Linked DNA regions of Astyanax mexicanus. The protein of the gene in region 1 interacts with the protein of each later gene in a biochemical or structural test. Links are inferred from orthologs where the notes say so. Each region holds a gene or a part of one and is shown on either strand. Other genes may lie near its edges.

Region 1 (9,606 bases):
TCCTATTCTAGTGTATAGGAGTGTTAATTGAGATTGAGTTTAATGACTAATATCTCCTATTCTAGTGTATAGGAGTGTTTATTGAGGTTGTTTATTGACTAATATCTCCTATTCTAGTGTATAGGAGTGTTTATTGAGGTTGAGTTTATGGACTAATATCTCCTATTCTAGTGTATAGGAGTGTTTATTGAGGTTGAGTTTATGGACTAATATCTCCTATTCTAGTGTATAGGAGTGTTTATTGAGGTTGTTTATGTACTAATATCTCCTATTCTAGTGTATAGGAGTGTTTATTGAGGTTGTTTATGTACTAATATCTCCTATTCTAGTGTATAGGAGTGTTTATTGAGGTTGAGTTTAAGGACTAATATCTCCTATTCTAGTGTATAGGAGTGTTTATTGAGGTTGTTTATGTACTAATATCTCCTATTCTAGTGTATAGGAGTGTTTATTGAGGTTGTTTATGTACTAATATCTCCTATTCTAGTGTATAGGAGTGTTAATTGAGGTTGAGTTTAAGGACTAATATCTCCTATTCTAGTGTATAGGAGTGTTTATTGAGGTTGGGTTTATGGACTAATATCTCCTATTCTAGTGTATAGGAGTGTTTATTGAGGTTGAGTTTAAGGACTAATATCTCCTATTCTAGTGTATAGGAGTGTTTATTGAGGTTGTTTATGTACTAATATCTCCTATTCTAGTGTATAGGAGTGTTTATTGAGGTTGTTTATGTACTAATATCTCCTATTCTAGTGTATAGGAGTGTTTATTGAGGTTGCTTATGAACTAATATCTCCTATTCTAGTGTATAGGAGTGTTTATTGAGGTTGTTTATGTACTAATATCTCCTATTCTAGTGTATAGGAGTGTTTATTGAGGTTGCTTATGAACTAATATCTCCTATTCTAGTGTAGGGGTGTTTATTGAGGTTGAGGTTATGGAGTAATATCTCATTCTAGTGTATAGGAGTGTCTATTGATATTGAGTTTATGGACTAATATCTCCTATTCTAGTGTATAGGAGTGTTTATTGAGGTTGCTTATGAACTAATATCTCCTATTCTAGTGTAGGGGTGTTTATTGAGGTTGAGGTTATGGAGTAATATCTCATTCTAGTGTATAGGAGTGTCTATTGATATTGAGTTTATGGACTAATATCTCCTATTCTAGTGTATAGGAGTGTTTATTGAGGTAGTTTATGGACTAATATCTTCTATTCTAGTCTACAGGTATGTCTTTCATAGGTAATATCTTAACCATTGTTTAATCACATGCTAATCGCTAGCATTTAATGCTGATTAATGTGCTTTAGCATTCATGGCGCTAATGTTAAACGTCTCTCTTGCTTCTTTTTTTTGTTTTGTTTTCTTGTCTCTCTCGTTCATCTCCCACCTGTGCCATCTCTTTCTGTTCTCTCCACCATTCTTATTTCTTTCTTTATTTCCCTCTGTCCATTTGTTCCTCCTTTCACTCATTTGTCTGTCTTCCTTTCTCTCCTCCCCTCTCTTAGTTTATGCTCATTATCTCTATAGGTAATGTCGTGGACAGCGAAGCGCCCTCTTCAGGACAGGAGCTGAGCCAGCAGCAAGGACTCTGAGATATTTCACCGAGGAGGATTTATCCACACCCCTAGAGGACATATTTTAGATTTATTGATTATTCTATTTATGTAAACCAATGGGACATTTCATTTATTTAGTTATTTGTTGTTTATGTATCATTTGTTTGCTCATTTCTACCCCTCTCTCTCTCTCTCTTCTTTTTATCTTTTTTGTGTTCATCTTATCATGTTTAACTCTTATCAGGTGTAACTGAATGTATTATTACGAATCTGAAGTTTGTACATTTATATCTACAGGCAGTTATCTAATCTTTTTATAATAATCCTCATCTTGGAATTGTTTCATATCTACGTTGGTTCATTTTTCGACGGTAAATTTTGAGCTTAAGTGACACTGATGTGGTTTTAACTTAATTTCGTCACTCTTTCTTTCCTGCTTTTGGGTTCTCGAGACGTGTTTCTGTGATTTTTACGATGACTGCGGTTGTATTATTTGAATATCAGATTTGAAGCAGATTTTAGAGCGAGTTATCAACAGACTGTGTTGCGTCAGTGATGGATGGATCCTTATTTTCCCTTTTTTTTCTTCCTTCTCTCCTCTGATACCAAAACACGAACTCTTCGATAAGCCATAAACGTAGCGATGACGAGGGCTACTTTCGGATGCATCTTTTTCAGCAAAAAAGAAAACCCGGAGACTGGATTTATCTCTGCGGTTCCTCGAGTGCTGAACCTTTCCATTCCTTTTCTCCTGCGCGTGGAGCGACGTGTGGAACGAGTGACTGTGTGTGTGTGTGAGTGTGTGTTCGGATTTTCAGGTGTGTGTGTACGTATGTGTTTTCTCCGCTGGACCAACCCCACTGTGGCCTACGCTCAAACTGCAGTGTCCGAGAGTGGCGCGATTTTGAACCCCTCTGACTAAAACCCTGCTACTAATCGAGCCTTATTCCCTCTCTCCTCTGTCCTCCCTCTGTTTTTATTTATTCCCCACATTTCTGTGTGATTTCAGCCTCTTTTCTGTGATTTTAGACATTTGTTCTTATCCTGAGTCATATCAGAAATAAAGGCTGGACTGTGTTTTAACCTGGAGGCAATGTGATGGAATCCTCCTGAACACCCGTTTTCCTTTTTCCTCATTCTCTCTTCATATTCTGTGATTTTTAGTCGATTATGCACAAGGTCTGATCATGTCCTGGATTCCTCTGCATTGTTTTTCTCTGTTTAAAATCTCCTGATCTTGTAACAGAAGTTCTGTACAGTCCAAGTACTTATGAGCTATTTTTTATCACAGTATTATTTATTGCTTCCTTTCAATAAAAAAATACTGAAACTTATTTTCCACTGCCAATAAAAAGACTAAGTCTTTGCGTTAAAAAAACCTGGTGTGTTTTTGTGTTTGTGCTCCTTTCTCTCTTTTCTAGAGCTTTACATACACTTAATAATCAGATCACAATCAGATTTCTGCAGTTTTCTGATTATTCAAGAAACATGCACGTATTCTTTAGGTCTCAGATTAAGATCTAAAAGTGATAGAGCTGGATTTTACCTCAGTATATGGCTTTGTCAGCACATACATACATACACACACTCATTAATTGGATTATTATCACATTTCTGCAGTTTTCGGACTATTCAAGTGGTCTGTAAAGAGCGTAATTCTTAGATCAGATTTACATCTAAAAGTCTAGAAAGATACAGCTCTGGAAAAAAATAAAAGACCACTTAAAACTGATGAGTTTCTTTGATTTTACTAAATAAAAAAAACTCTGGAATATAATCAAGAGGAAGATGAATGATCACAAGCCATCAAACCAAGCTAAACCGCTTAAGTTTTTGCACCAGGAGTGGCCAAAACAAATGATCCAAAAGCAGTGTGTAAGACTGGTGGAGGAGAACATGATGCCAAGATGCATGAAAACTGTGATTAAAAACCAGGGTTATTCCACCAAATATTGATTTTTGAACTCTTAAAACTTTATGAATATGAACTTGTTTTCTTTGCATTATTTGAGGTCTAAAAGCTCTGCATCTTTTTTGATTTTTCAGCCATTTCTCATTTTCTGCAAATAAATGCTCTAAATGGCAATATTTATTTTTGGAATTAGGGAGAAATGTTGTCCGTAGTTTATAGAATAAATCAACAAAATCTCTTAATTTTTTCCAGAGCTGTATATAAGTTGTTAGGTGTGATTTTGTGAGTGAAGCCGAACACTGACCAATATGCTCACAGAAAGGCGAACTGTCAGGGTTTGAGTGAGGACAGATAGTGGGTGCCAGATGGATGGGACATTTAATTTCTAAGTTGGATGGTAAGTTCTGATCTGTAATGTTTAATTCAAATGAAAACATAGTGGCTCTGCTCTGCTGTCCAGAGATTGCCACCATTTAAACTTCACCTTTGTCCTTAATATCTGATTACCCACCCTGATCATATCCACATTCTATGAATTAATACAGAAAATATAATACATATAAAACCTTATTCAGCTTTACACATGTTTATATCATTAAAACCAGCTTTACACCTGTCTGACTCATTACAGCACTAGAACACCGTTTACACTGCTGTAACACACCTTTGCCCTGCTAAAGCACAATTTACACCCTTTACACATTTCTAACACACCTTTACACTGCCCTTCAGTCCTTTGTGATGGTAATAGGGGAACAGTTTCACATGCAGCATGAATATGAAACTTGAAGTGACTACTGTATTTCAAAAGTGAGTACTAAATGCCTTCTAAATGATGACTTTAATATTAAATTTACAATGTGACAAATCATAAAAAGACACTAAACACATTAAATTAGAAGAGCGGTGTCCAAACTTTTGACTGGTACTCTATGGTGGTTTTGTCTTCTCTTCTCTTATCCAAACTTTTGACAGGTACTGTATGGTGGCCTGACAATACAACACAATCATACAGTAGCGGTCAAAAGTTGGATAAGAGAATAGAAGACAAAACAACCATACAGTAACAATCAAAAGTTTGGGAAAGACTTGACAAGAAAGATAAAGGGAGATAACAAAGTAAAAGAAGACAAGGCAAGTCTTCTATTGTCTTGTCTTGTTATGTGTTGTCTTGTCTTCTCAGGTCTTGTCCAAACTTTTGACTGGCAATGCATGCTTGTCATTTCTTGTCTTCTCTTTCGCTTCTCTTCCCAGGTCCAAACTTTGACTGGCACTGTATGCTTGTCTTGTCTTGTCTTCCCTTCTCTTCTTTTCTCTTGTCTTCTTTTTCCTTGTCTTGTCTTCTCTTGTTTTGTCGGATCTTGTCTTGTCTTGTCTTCCCTTCTCTTCCTTTCTCTTGTCTTCTTTTTCCTTGTCTTGTCTTCCCTTCTCTTCTTTTCTCTTGTCTTCTTTTTCCTTGTCTTGTCTTCTCTTGTTTTGTCGGATCTTGTCTTGTCTTGTCTTCCCTTCTCTTCCTTTCTCCTGTCTTCTTTTGCCTTGTCTTGTCTTCTCTTCTCTTCTCAGGTCTTGTCCAAACTTTTGACCTCTTCTCTTCTCTTCTCTTCTCTTCTCTTCTCTTCTCTTCTCTTCTCTTCTCTTCTCTTCTCTTCTCTTCTCTTCAAATCAGTGCTGTGCTCCGGCGCTGCAGTACCGGTTCTTCACCGCAGGGGGCGCTGCAGCTTCAGTCGCAGGAAGTGGGAGAGCAGGAAGAGTGGAGCGGAGAGGAGGAATAATCATCCCACCATTTCAGCGCGGAGAGATATTCACCTAAAACCCGCAGTTAAACCGCTTTAACCTAGGATTCCCGAGCCGAACCGGAGCAAAGCGTGAGTACAGCCCGCTGATACCGGCCGGGGAGCTCGGGGCCCGGGGGGGAAGCTTCTGGAATCAGCGGGACGGAGCTGAATCAGCCACAGGGCTGGATACAGACCCCGCTTTACAGTCTGTTTAACGATTAAAAACACTAATTACAGGGTTTATATTAAATATACAGCTTCTTTTAAACGTAGATATTATTTTAACATCTCAGTGTTGGGCTGAGCTGATGTTAAAAATAGCTAAAATCTAATTGGAAGCTTGTGTTTGGAATTTTCCGGTCCACCTTAAATGGTGCAGCAGTTGCAATATGGTGTCTGCGCTGTTTTAAGGTGGAACGGAAGAATTCCTGAAGGAAGCAGCCAATTTCAGCCTCATTCTCTGCTGGCTGATGTGGCACTTAAAGCTCTTTTTTATAATCTCTAGCTAAATAACGTTATTAAGGACCTTAATTTATGAATAATTAACACTGTTAGAGTATTAGTAACAATGGCAAAAGCCTTTATTTGCATTTATATTTATAAAAATAGCAATAGAAATGCAGCTAAATGGGTGTATCCACACAGAGACTAGCCTAGTTAATAATACTACTACTACTAGTACTACTACTAGTGTTTGGCACTTATTGCTCCTATAGCACTTAAGTCTGTACAGAGTGGCCTAGAGGAGGATGGTTTCCCCCTCTATTACTACTAAAATGTGTGACAGAAATGATGCAAATAAATATATAAAATTAATGTTTGGATGTAGACAGCTAATATTGGACTGCAAAGCATTTAGAATGGAGATTTTCCCATTTATAGGAAAAATATAGACAGTACCTAGGCTTAATCCCTGTCTAATGAAACTGAGCAAAGGAGTTAGTGTTGTGTAATGGGAGCTACTACTACAGGCCTCACACACAGACACACACACAGTCTCTCTATCACACACTTCTAGAACTGGGTGTGGTGTGTGTTACGTCCTGCTTTATACTGATACTCCACTTATTGCTCCTGAAGCACTTAAATCTGTACACAGTGGCCTAGAGGAGGATTGTTTCCTCCTATTTTGGTGAATGTTGAACTTCCTTACAGTGATGCTGGAGGGTTTCTATAGCAATCCTATGTGTAAAGGTGGGCAATACAGTAAATATGTAATGTGTATTTTATATACCGCTTTGGAAAGAAATTAAGAGACCACCTAAGTTTCTGATTTTTTCTGATTTTTTCTGATTCAAAATTCCAAATATTGCCATTTAGAGCATTTATTTGCAGAAAATGAGAAATTGCTGAAATAACAAAAAAGATGCAGAGCTTTTTTTTTTTTGGTGTAATATTTGATGGAATATTGATTCCCTGGTTTTTAATCACAGTTTTCATGCATCAGTGCATGTTCTCCTCCACCAGTCTTAAACACTGCTTTTTGATAACTTTAAGCCTTTACTCCTGGTGCAAAAATTCAAGCAGTTCAGTTTGGTTTGATGGCTTGTGATCATCCATCTTCCTCTTGATTAAATTCCAGGAGGTTTTCAATTTTATAAAATCAAAGGAACTCTTCTTTTTGAATTGGTCTTATTTTTTCCAGAGCTGTATGTATATGTATGTCTTTTGTGAATGAGATTAGACTATGTGACAATAATTATGTAAATAAATGAAACATGTTTAGATAATACAGCTATATTGGGCTACGTAGCATTTAAGAATGGAAATTTTCCCATTTAAAGGAAATAAATGTAGACAAAAGGCTTAATCCCTGTCTATGGACACCTTGTTTCTTTGTTGTTCCTGCAGTTCATATGCATAGGATTATTGTGCCTTGAAAGAGAATAAAGATTTTAACTCCAGAATAAAGATTTTAACTCCACTAACCAAATAGTACCGCTCTCTAGAGTGCATCTTTCAGCCCATACAGTGAGTAGCAGAGGTAACAAACACCACTAATGACACAAAACACCAAACACTGCAGACCTTGTTTAACACTACCTAAATCAACAACAGCAGCATAATCTCACATGTAAGGGTGGGAAATATAGTAAAAATGCTATATCATAATTAGAGCTAGTGCTGGGAGGTTCATTGAATTATTTATCTCTAGATTGTGCTTCTGTCAGAAACCTTTCATATTTTGACAAAGTGGTTATTTTTGCACCTTGTTCAGTATAAAAATGTTTGGTAGCGACTTGCTATTCTTTTAAAATAATTATTTATTTTAACATTAAAATGCCTTAAAAAGCAGTAAGTACTTCCTGATTTTAATTCAATGCATTATGACTTAATAAAGTGCTTTATTCATTCACTCAGAATATTCTAATCTATTATCACAAGATTCTTCTGAGCTCAGATACTGTCAGAAATGAGCCACACAAAACCCTAATGCTCCCACTTCATGAGCTTCATCGTGTCTTAGCTTAAATTAATCCTGTGAGTCTCAGTTAAACCTGTTAGCCTGAACAGTTGGTCAGTATTAGCTGGAGTGATCATCTCAGACCTGTTGCTCTGTGTTAGCTTAGGTAGCATGCTAAGCTAAAATATTTACATAGTCAAATAATTGAAAGACTAGGCAATTAATCAAAACCAACATTTAGAATCTTTAACTGATGCAGTTGTTTGTGTTATTGTTAGTAATGTACTGAAATGAAAAAAAAAGTATATAAATTATAAGAACCTTCAATTTTTTTTTTTTGCCGAAATATGCAGTCATTTAACCACAATTTTTGCATCGGTGCATCCCTAATTTTAGGGCCATATTGTCCACCTCTAGTGTGTGGTAATGTACATGTCCCTTTGAAAACGTACTGTAGCGTGTGTAGTCATGTGACTCCACCCTGTCCACTTTACAACATGTGCATTGTTTATTAAAATGATCATTCATTCATTATTATGGAGGGCAAACGTAGAGATGGAAACATTAATCAATTTTCAGCCGAAATGTGCAGTCGGCAGTCAGACAATATTTTTCGTAAGTTAGTCAATATGATTCGGGAGTTCCTTCCTACAGGCTGCAGCGAATGAATCGCTCAGACTCAGCTCAGATTCAAGATTTAAAGAGTTTATTGTCATGTGCACAGTAAGAAACAAGTTTTCTCGTACAATGAAATTCTTTCTTTGCTCCTCGCCAAGTATGCTGCATAAAGATAAAAGTAGAAAATATACAATAAAGAAAGAAATAAACTAACTAAATATAAATATTAAATTGGTGTTAAATTTACATCCAGGATGGAAATATATACATGAAAAAAGAATATGTTATGGATATTATTTACAAGTAAGTATATGTTATCTACAGCAGTGGAATAAGAAAAAAGTGCAAAACTTTCAGTAGTGCTATTATAAAATTACTGTAAAGTGAGCATATGCCTCTGTAAAATAACATGTAAACGTGTAGAGTGTAAGGTGCAGGGTTATTCTGGTTATTTAGTTCGGTCAGTCTGATTTTTTTTTTCTTCTTAAAAATGATGTAAAAGTATTGTTGCTTTTATTGCTTTATAGGTATGGATATTTAAAAGGGGTGTTTGGCTGTTTTATTTATTCAGTGATGAAAAATGGGCTAAAATACCTGCAGAGAATCGTGTTTGAGTTTATGCCTTCTCAGTATCAGTTTGAGGCTGTGTGATTGTTCTTCTGAAGAGCTGATGTAAGGCAGACAGTGCTGTGCTGATGAGCTGCAGATGTGTGTGAGGCTGAATCAGGCCTGCTGGTTTGCTGAGTCAGGCTGCAGCTACTCGCCCCATCCTCTGTTTACACAGGAAGTGAGGGAGAACCGAGTGCCACATCATCTTAACTGATCTTCATTTACTGAGAGAGGAATTTCACCCACGTTCCACAATTTCTCAGTCTTTAATAGATAATGTGTGAATAAAGCTATTCAGAGTGGGATTAGTGTTGAATGCTCTATTTAGAGTTCTGAATGGTGGTGGTGAATGAATCGAGATGTCTGAAGCTTCCTCACAGAAACTTATTACACCATGTGGTTATGAATACACTGCCTGATACCCAAATGTTTGGTTTTGTTTGGGTTCAGTTGCGGTGCATCCCTAAACTTGTTCAAATTTTGTATTTGTTGATTAATGTAGATTAATGGTTATTAAACTTAGTAAAGCACATTTCCTGACTATTAATATCCTCTATTCCATTCTGATTCCTATTCCTCCAGATGTGGAAAGCAACAGCTGGTCGCTCGGTCTCCGTTACGGTGGACGATGGCGGTGATGACTGGGAGACTGACCCTGACTTTGAGGTGAACTCTCTTAGTCTTCTTGTGTGTTTATCTCTGTTTATCTTCTGTTCCTCCTCACTGAT
Region 2 (9,193 bases), on another chromosome or scaffold:
TAACATTGTTTGGATGTGCAAAATACAGTGTAATGGGTTGTTATCAACAGGTATTTTTACTGGATTCAACAAAAAGAAAAGACAAAAAGACTGTACAACCAGTGAGGATAAACCTCAAAGTCTTTAACTAACTATTTCTTGGAAATTATCTGAATGTTTAACTGTAATTCTGTTAATTTGGGTGCGACATAATTCCCAGATTTGACACACGACACTGAATTAAATGGAACACAGTCCGAGGATGCTCAGATTTTCAAAACTATCAAAAGGTATTAAACAAAAAATATATCATTAATCTAACATACCCCATCAAATCTTAGTAAAGCTTACTGTTACCAAGTTCATCAGGATACAATAACACCTAGCTAATAGAGCTAGATGACTTAGCCTAAACTTAAATCTAAACATCTCAGTCAGTCAAAAACAATACAAAGTCCAGTTAGGCTTTATTGTAAAGCATATTTCATTCAGTACCTCAAATCTGAGAACACCACTTATATTTCCAGCATTAAAGTGAGTCTTTGTGGACAGGCATGCTTTAGCTCTGATTTCAGACTGGCCTGAATCCAAAACAAGCAACCACACCTGATAAGCTACAACACACCTTACAGGAACAAGGCCTTGCTGGTTTCCTGGTCAATCTTAAGTCCAGGCAAATGATGTGAGGTATATATTTCCCCTGTCATTATAAAGCATTTGCATCTAAAAGACCAAACTACAGAGCACCCAGTGAACAGAGCAGGTCAGTTTTCAAAAGATTGAGCAGTCAAGATAACATTTTCTTAGGTTAAAATAAACTAGCTTTGGACTGGAATGGATGGAAAGCTGCACTAAAATGTTTGTTTAAGTGTAATAAAATATTCATGCTTTAGATCAGAACTGGACCAAAAATCTTAGCTCTACATAAGTCTATTTATCTAAGGAAGTGACCACCACACTTCGACTACAGCACATCTGTAAAATTGTGCACTGTCAGGAAACTAAAAATACTAAAAGCAAACATTACTCCAGCCCTGACTCTTCAGAACAAGAGTTGAAGAGGGAAGCAGAAGCAGAAGCAGAAGCAGCCTCAACATGACGAGGATTTGATGCTGGTCAAATTTCTCCATTGCGTTATGAGTTATAAAAAGCAGTGGTGCAGACCATGCAGAGAAGTTCAGGTCAGAGAGAGGATGTGAGGCTTTCACACATCTCAGACTGGGTTACACACAAACACACACACACACACACATAAACACACACACACACACACACACACACACACACACACACACACACACACACACACACACACACACAAACACAAACACACACACACACACACACACACACAAAAAAAACACACACACACATCTGTGCTACAGAAACAGCCTACTCTTCCCCATCCATTCTCTGAACAGATGCTTGTAATGGCTCAAAGCGAAGGGGGTGGAGGGAAAGGTATGCAGTGAGGAATGTTCAAGTCTCAACATGTTGACACTTCAGAGGGAACAGCCTTCACCACATACCAAGTTCAGTATAAAAGTATATATGCATCAACAACTTTACAGAGAACAGATAAAATCTATATTGTGCAAAAAGGGAGATGAGGTGAAGGAAAAGGGGAAAGAAAGAGGCCCTTTAGCAACAGCTGAAGTCAAGCAGAGCCAAGTACTGTCACTAAATATATAAGGATGCGTTTTAATATTGCTGCTGTTGCGCCAAAAGCTCATATTTGTTTCTGTATTTGGCATAGTTTAAAAGTGGTAGCTTCAAATGAACAATACTGACAATAATATTGACAGAGCAATAAAATGGTCCAAAATTACTTGGAATAAAACAATTTAATTTTACTTTAATTAAAAATGAAAAAAAAAAATTCTCCTGTGAAGTTGCTATTTTGGAAATACAAGGATTTGCAAGACAGCAATCATATACTGTTTAACAAATACAAACTCTGCGAACGATCCTTGTTAGTGCTGAGAATAATAAGACTGGACAGGATAATACGGTTTTATAAGCTCAGTATAAGGCTGAGCAGGACAATAAGGCTGTATAATCTCTATGCATACGCTTATGCTGAGTATATGGCTTAATAGAATAATATGGCTATACACCATGTACTACTGCTGAGTACTGAGTACTGAGTAAATGATGATGGCTTAATAGAATAATATGGCTATACACCATGTACTACTGCTGAGTACTGAGTACTGAGTAAATGATGTATAAATGTAGAGTATAATGCAGTTATAGCATAATATGGAGAGAAAAGCTATAAGTCTACATATAATAGGGTTGTGTCTGCTGTTAATGTTGAGTTTAATAAACATGAAAGTATAATCACAGGTGGTACAAAATCTTTATTAGTGTGGGGCATAGTATGTCTGGGGAAAATAAGACTGAGGTATAAAACTATTGCTAAACAATGCTGTTTATTTAGTGCTGAGAAAAACAGCAGTTATAGTAGTATAAAGGATGACTATGCAGTTAAGAGTTTGGTTTAATTAATATTAAGGGTACAACAGGTATAGAGTGTATAAGCGGTATTAAAATAAAATTAAGTGATAAAAGAGTGTTAATGCTGGTTATAAGGTGTAATAATATAATAAGGTCGTGTAACGGTTAGACCTTAATAACACTGTTCTCATTTCCCATGAAATATTGACTAGAGACAGAGCATATCTGTACAGTATCATTAATTTTACTTCAATCCTGGGTATATGGAGTGCATTATTAGTATCTTGACATGTTAGATGATTGACTTACTTATTGTTACAATCTGTTGAAAATCTCAACTAGGGATAGGCCTTCCATGATAATTTTTGTGGATGATATATTGTCACAAAATTATTTTAATAAACTATATTATTGCCATTTTAAGACCAGTTACATAATGAAAAAAAAATCAATTATACCCTTTAAATACAACATTTTAATTAAACACAGTTTGGTAAATATATACTTTTTTCCAGCTACTGCAGTTATGACACATTTGCAAACAGTAATTTTTGTTACCGCAAAAATATCCTAAGATACTGTGATATTACACTGCCTGGCTGAAAAAAAGCTCACACACTAATATTTCATTGAGGTTAAGGTCTGGACTCTGTGGTGAACAATGCATGTGTAAAAATGCTGATCTTATACTCCCGGAACCACTCTTTTACAATTCCAGCTCAATCCTGACATTGTCATCTTGGAATATGCTCGTGCAATCAGGAAAGAAAAAATCCATTGATGGAATAACCTGCTCTATATTCAATATATTTAGGTAGTCAGCTGACCTCATTCATTTGCTTAGTTAAATCCAGGTGCAGACTTTTTTTTGGCCAGACAGTGTACAATTGCATGACAAAGCAATTATATCCTTTTAAAAAGACATTTTAATTAAACATAGTTTTGGACATATAAATGTTTTTCTTCACTCTCTACAGTCATGCTAAACTTGCAAACAGTCACTCTTGTTATCACAGCAATATCCTGAGATATTGTGATATTATTTTAGTGCTGAGTATGTCAGAGCAGTATAAGGTGGAGGTATAAAATGTGGTTGTGTTATTGTCAGGTAGCTATATTGCAGCTAAATACTATAACAATGCTATATATGCTGGGTATAACAAGGCTGGGGTTGGTGCTGCTGTATATTTGATAGAATTAGCCGTTAGCTGGGTTTGTTATCTAGGTTAGCTTCAGTGCTGAGGAGAAGCAGCATCCAAAACCAAGCGCAAAGTTCAGTTTCAGAAACACCACTACAAACTACAAACACAAAACCGACCCTTTTACCATTGGTTAAACACGGTCTGTTGCCGCAGGACAGAATAAAACACAGCTAACCTAACTAAAATCCCGTCCAAACGTCAAACACGACCATATATGGAGCAAAAAGCGAGAAGCAGGAAGCGGCTCTGACTGTCAGTAAAATTAGGAAGTTGGACTGCGCATGCGCGGCGCCACTCAGAATGAGTTTTGCAGAATTTATCAGGCAATGTGGGTTTTTAGGAGAATCCTGACCTGATAAAACCTGGAAACCCGCACACTGCGCTTACTGTCGCAGTCTGTAAACATGTGTGCATGTTCAACATGAGCTGGAATGAAGCGTTTTGATGATATGTAGCTACACATCTCGCCAGTGAAAGCCCATTCCAGGCTTCATAACGTTAGCTAACCTAGCATTGCACACAGCCACCACCCAAACCCAGGCTCCTCATCCACCCCAGCAGCAGAGCTGTTCTGACACCCCGTCCACTGTGGACAAAAGCAGAGCTGCGTGTCTACAGGAAAAGCGACCACAGGCTCGTATATTAGCGGGTTTCTACTGGAAGATAATAGATCTAACAGAGCACATCCACATCCACACACCCAGAGCTGCTGCTGCTGCTACTGCCACTGTGGAATCGGCTGGAAAACTCACCCTGTGCCGCAATCCACAACGCACGCCGGCAGCCTCCCAGCCATTTCTCCGCTCTGCGCTGTTTTAGAAGCCGGTATTAAAGCTTTCTGCCTCCAGAAGAGCAGCACAGTGTGGTCAGCGGCCAATCTAAAGGCGGAACCCTTAAGTTTTCAGCCACTTCCGCACTCGGTCGGCACTCAGCGGAGAGAAAATGGCCGTCGCCGGTGAGGAGGGGGGACGGAGGGCGCATGCGCATTGACGCCTACAGGCAGACAGAGGGGCGAGTGTCAGCTCAAACCATAGATTGTCTGTCTACGTCTATGGCTCAAACCTTAAAAATGTGTTTTTAGTATAAATTCTCCTTTTATTCCAAGATAAAACCATAACAGACACAATTCAAACATTGTACAGACAGAAATAAGGTGCCAACAGTCAAATAACAGATCTGAGTTCACGTTTAACACTCGTTAAAGTAACTAAAATCTTTTTGCAAATCAGTTTTAAGGAGAAAGATTACAATCTTTTTGAAAAGTAATTCGAATCAATTTTCAGAAAAAATGTAATTCTTTAAAAAGTTGTCTAAATCCAGTTTTCTGAAAGATTCGATAAAAAAGCAGTTTGAATCTATGATCCGTTTAAAAGATTCGAATCTTTTTGAAAAGGAGTTCCAATTAGTTTTCAGGAAGTTCGAATAATAATAATGTTTGATGCAGCTTACATGAAAAATCTCTTTGTAAAAATGGTTCTAAAATGCGTTATTATATATAAAGTAGAATACAAAATCTCATAAAACTCACACCACACATATTTATAGTTTCTTCACACATATTCATTGGCTTACTTAATAATTTACCTCAGGCAATTTTTTTATTGTATTGTATTGTATTTTTGGCATATCCTATAAGTCCACCTAATTTCGTAGGAATGCAGAATCATTACTGTTAGATCATTGTTAGATGAACTGCAGTAAATAAAGTAAATTGTTCCTTATAAGAGTGGAGATATAAGGTTATATTTATCAGATGGTGAATCGACCGAAAAGTGTCACGCCAAACTTGCAAATAGTTGCTCCGCCTGTTTTGCATTCTGGGAGATGAAGTTTTAGTACGTAAGCTACAGGACAGAGTACCAGAACTAGGAACTACATTTACCATGATGCTGATGCGCTAAGTGAAGTCATGAGTAGGAGACCGAGCTCATAAAACTCATGTAAATATTTACCACCCAGTCGAGTTATTATCCTTTACAAAGCCGCAGATTGTTCGTAACCTCGCCTGATAAACGCATGAAGACGGGTTTCGAGGCCGTGCCGACTGAAGCAGGTACTGTAGCTAAATGTCTACATATAACCTACATGTAGTGTTTAATAGCTAACACTAACATTAGCTAGATTAACCGAGGAGCCGAATTACCAAGAGCTCCAGTCTGCTTTCTGCTCTCTGTACCTCTCTGACTGACTGACCGCTGCGCTGCTTATCAAAACACAGCTGATTTTTTCCTAAACAGAGCTGAGTGTAATGATATTTAGGTAAAATTATAAATTAAAATGTATCATAGTCTCAATGTCACAAGCCTCTGTTCACTACTCTGTCAAGAAGTCTAAAATAAAGACCAACAGGTTAAAGAACTCGTTCTTCCCCAACTGCCACCAGAGCTCAGAAATAACCCTGCACTTTACTGTCTACATTCACAGTCATTTTACTGTAGCACAGCTTTATAATTGCATTACTGTTCATTTAGCATTTTTATCATATCTCCTTACTGTAGATAAGTAATGTTCTTGTTTGTGAATAATATCTATATTATATAGTGCTGTGATTTTGTTGTATTCTTGTTGTAAATGTAACAGCATTTTAGTGAGTATTTTTATATTTGGTAAGTTTATTATTTGCTTTATTGTATTTTTTCTTTTAATTAGTGTGGGGCGGTATGACCAAAATGTCTATCACTGTATTTTTTAAGGTTCTGTCGCTTTCATGGTATATCACAGTATTATTATTATTTTATTTATTTATTGTTTTGGCATGACTGGGCTTTTATATTGGTTTGTGACTTGATGTACTGTTAGGAGTATATCTAATATCAAACATTAAGTCTTTGATTACTATTGGTTTTACTTTGTCCCATAAAATCACCTTTCTTTTACAAAACACTGTGAATTGACCTAAAATACCTTTTAAGTTTAAGGTATTAAAAAAACATTTCTCTATTGCACAAGTAAAACACAAGTTAAACATCAATTTACAATATGTTATTAATGAAGCCATTAGAGACTTTACAGTATTAAAAAACCACAATTCTCTTCTTTTTTCAGTTAAAAATTAAATTCAGTGTGCATTAATATTATCCTTCAAGCTATATTATAAATATATTTAAAAGGATATTTTTCCTAAGTGAATAATTGCTGTTTTCTGTTGTTTTTATATTTTACTTGGATAAAAAGACCCATAAAGTGCTGTTCTCAAATTTCTCTCCAGGCAGGAGAGTGCTAGACAAGCGTGTATTAGCTTGTTTTGCTTACTCGTTAGCGTTAGCAAACAAACTCTGCCAGTAGGGCTGAACGATTAATCGTTTTTTAATTGAAATCATGATTTAAATGGACACGATTCATTGGTAGCATGGTCATTAATAATAACTGCAAACGACTGTCTGTTTGGTTATTTACATTATAACTTATTTATTTTACTGTTCTAAGGTCTTTGCTCTGGCTTTTAGTGATTGTGTGATGCAGGCTTTGTGCCACATCGTGGAGAGAGAGGCTGGCCGAGACCGGTGTGTCCGTTTCTAATGCGTCCGGCACGGTAAGGACCTTCACTCAACCAATAGGGTTGGATGTGTTGCTGGTTTTGTGCTAAATATTTGCATTGCAGAACACTTACCCACATACACTGTTTGCAATGCATACATATAAGCCAGATGTAAATAACGCATTACCTCCATTGCTTGCGTGTATGTGTAGGATGAGTTGGGGGGTATGTGGTGCCCAGAAGAGGAGGCTGGTGCTGGGCGTGGTCATCCTGCTGCTTGTGGATGTGATCTGGGTTGCGTCATCTGAACTCACTGCAGTAAGATCTACATACAGTACACATTTTTTACACACATTTACACATAATATGCTTGTATAATGTGCTATGCTCTATACTTCTTTTCCCTTTTAGTATTATTATTGTTAAATGGTCCATATTAAAACTAAATGCTTTAAACCTGCTCTTCGTTCCCCAGGCCATACATTTATGAAAGTTGACCTACAGAAGCAGTCCCTTTTAAATTCATAATGGCTGTGATGTTATAACCTTGCCCTTTTCTATTCATCGCCCAATCATCTTTCACCAGCTTAAGACATCTAATGTATTGTAATTTATAAGTGGTGAGAAAAAGATGAAAAGTAAAAAGCTTTCCTTTCTAAAGGATTCAGATATGCAAAGGATTTTAGTCCTTGACATTTGTTCAGACTGTAAGAGCTAAGAGTGTGTTATGTACACTTCAGATAGGGCTGTCTTTTCAAAGTGTGCTTTGTTTAATTTTTAAAAGGGTTGAGGTAGTAAGAACATATTTTATAAGTATGTATCAGAATTAAAGATAAACTCACTGGCTTGAGTTCTGGAAAACAAAATGGATGAAATACATGACTTCCTTACGTGGGTTGTGTTTGTTTGTGTGTTTCAGTACATCTTTGTGCAGAAGCAGTACAGTAAGCCGTTCTTCAGCACCTTTGTGAAGACCTCCATGTTCGTGTTGTATTTACTTGGATTCCTCTTCTGGAAACCATGGAGGCAGCAGTGTGCAGCTCGTTATCAGCAGCAGCTCAGCAGCCTCGTGAGTTCTCCAGATAACTTTGTCTTGCTTTTGATAGTTTGTATTTTTAATATAAGTAATCCTTACATGGTAAAGGTTTGTGACATCCATTGGTAGGCTGGTTAAAAAAATGTGGATATTTTTCCTAATGTCTAAACTGTGGGTCAATTTCCACTGTAAACAGAAGCAGGATAAGCACTGGGCAACACATCTTGGAAATATCTCAGCAAAAATAAATTACTTGCTTATATGTTTTTTTGGACTGTGGGAGGAAACCGTTCGAAAACCCACGCAGACAAGGTGACTGATGGGACTTGAACCCAGGACCCCAGCGCTGGAAGGCAAACGTGCTAACCACCAGTGTTGTTCCAATTCACAGCTTTTCTGAACTAGTTCCAGTTCAGTTCATACATGCTCAAAGTGAACAGTTCACGTTCAAAGTTCACGATTTGAATTCTGAACTAGTTCAAAGTTGAGTTCATTTTACTTTTTTTGTGAGATATTCAAATAAATGCTTTTTTTTTCACACTACAAGCTAGAAATCACTATACGTTCTTTGAAACTGCTCATTGTAGACATTTGCTCATGACACTGCAATTGTGGGTTTCTTACCAGGTGATGAAACAGCAGTACAAAGTGTTTTAAGTGTTCATAAGGAGAATCGGTGTCTGTCTCCATCCCATCACTTCCACTAGCCATTGTTTTTCAAATTGCAGCGCTTTCTCTCACTCTCGTCATTGGTCTGTCACTCTCTCTCTCTCGCTCTCTCTCTCGCGCACTTGCTCCTCCAGCGAGAATACAGGAGGGAGGAACTTTCTCTTGTTGCGTTTCAAAAGAGAAAACAGATGTCACTCAGTTTTCAATGGAAAACAAATTCCAACGTTTATTTACAGGGATGTCTGCCGTTCATGAAACATAAAGTGAACTAATTCACGTTCAAGTTCTTTATTAACAAATGTGTTGCGTTCAGTTCAACGTTCACGAAAAACGCACAAAACTGCTAACCACTAAGCCACTGTGCCTCCC

The links.
Region 2: the proteins of src substrate cortactin (region 1) and actr3 form a complex in vitro, tested with the Homo sapiens proteins (3 studies listed by BioGRID). The link is inferred for Astyanax mexicanus from reciprocal best matches to the Homo sapiens genes CTTN and ACTR3.

What each region holds. Positions count from the first base shown.
Region 1 is NC_064416.1:8,139,290-8,148,895, forward strand, and holds the start of src substrate cortactin, read left to right. Parts: upstream 1-5,182; 5' UTR 5,183-5,337; intron 5,338-9,460; coding exon 9,461-9,544; intron 9,545-9,606.
Region 2 is NC_064418.1:35,511,933-35,521,125, forward strand, and holds the start of actr3 (actin-related protein 3), read right to left. Parts: upstream 4,592-9,193; 5' UTR 4,438-4,591; coding exon 4,394-4,437; intron 1-4,393. Other genes in the region: solute carrier family 35 member F5, read left to right, coding at 7,160-7,173, 7,332-7,437, 8,039-8,188. UniProt on the Homo sapiens protein: ATP-binding component of the Arp2/3 complex, a multiprotein complex that mediates actin polymerization upon stimulation by nucleation-promoting factor (NPF).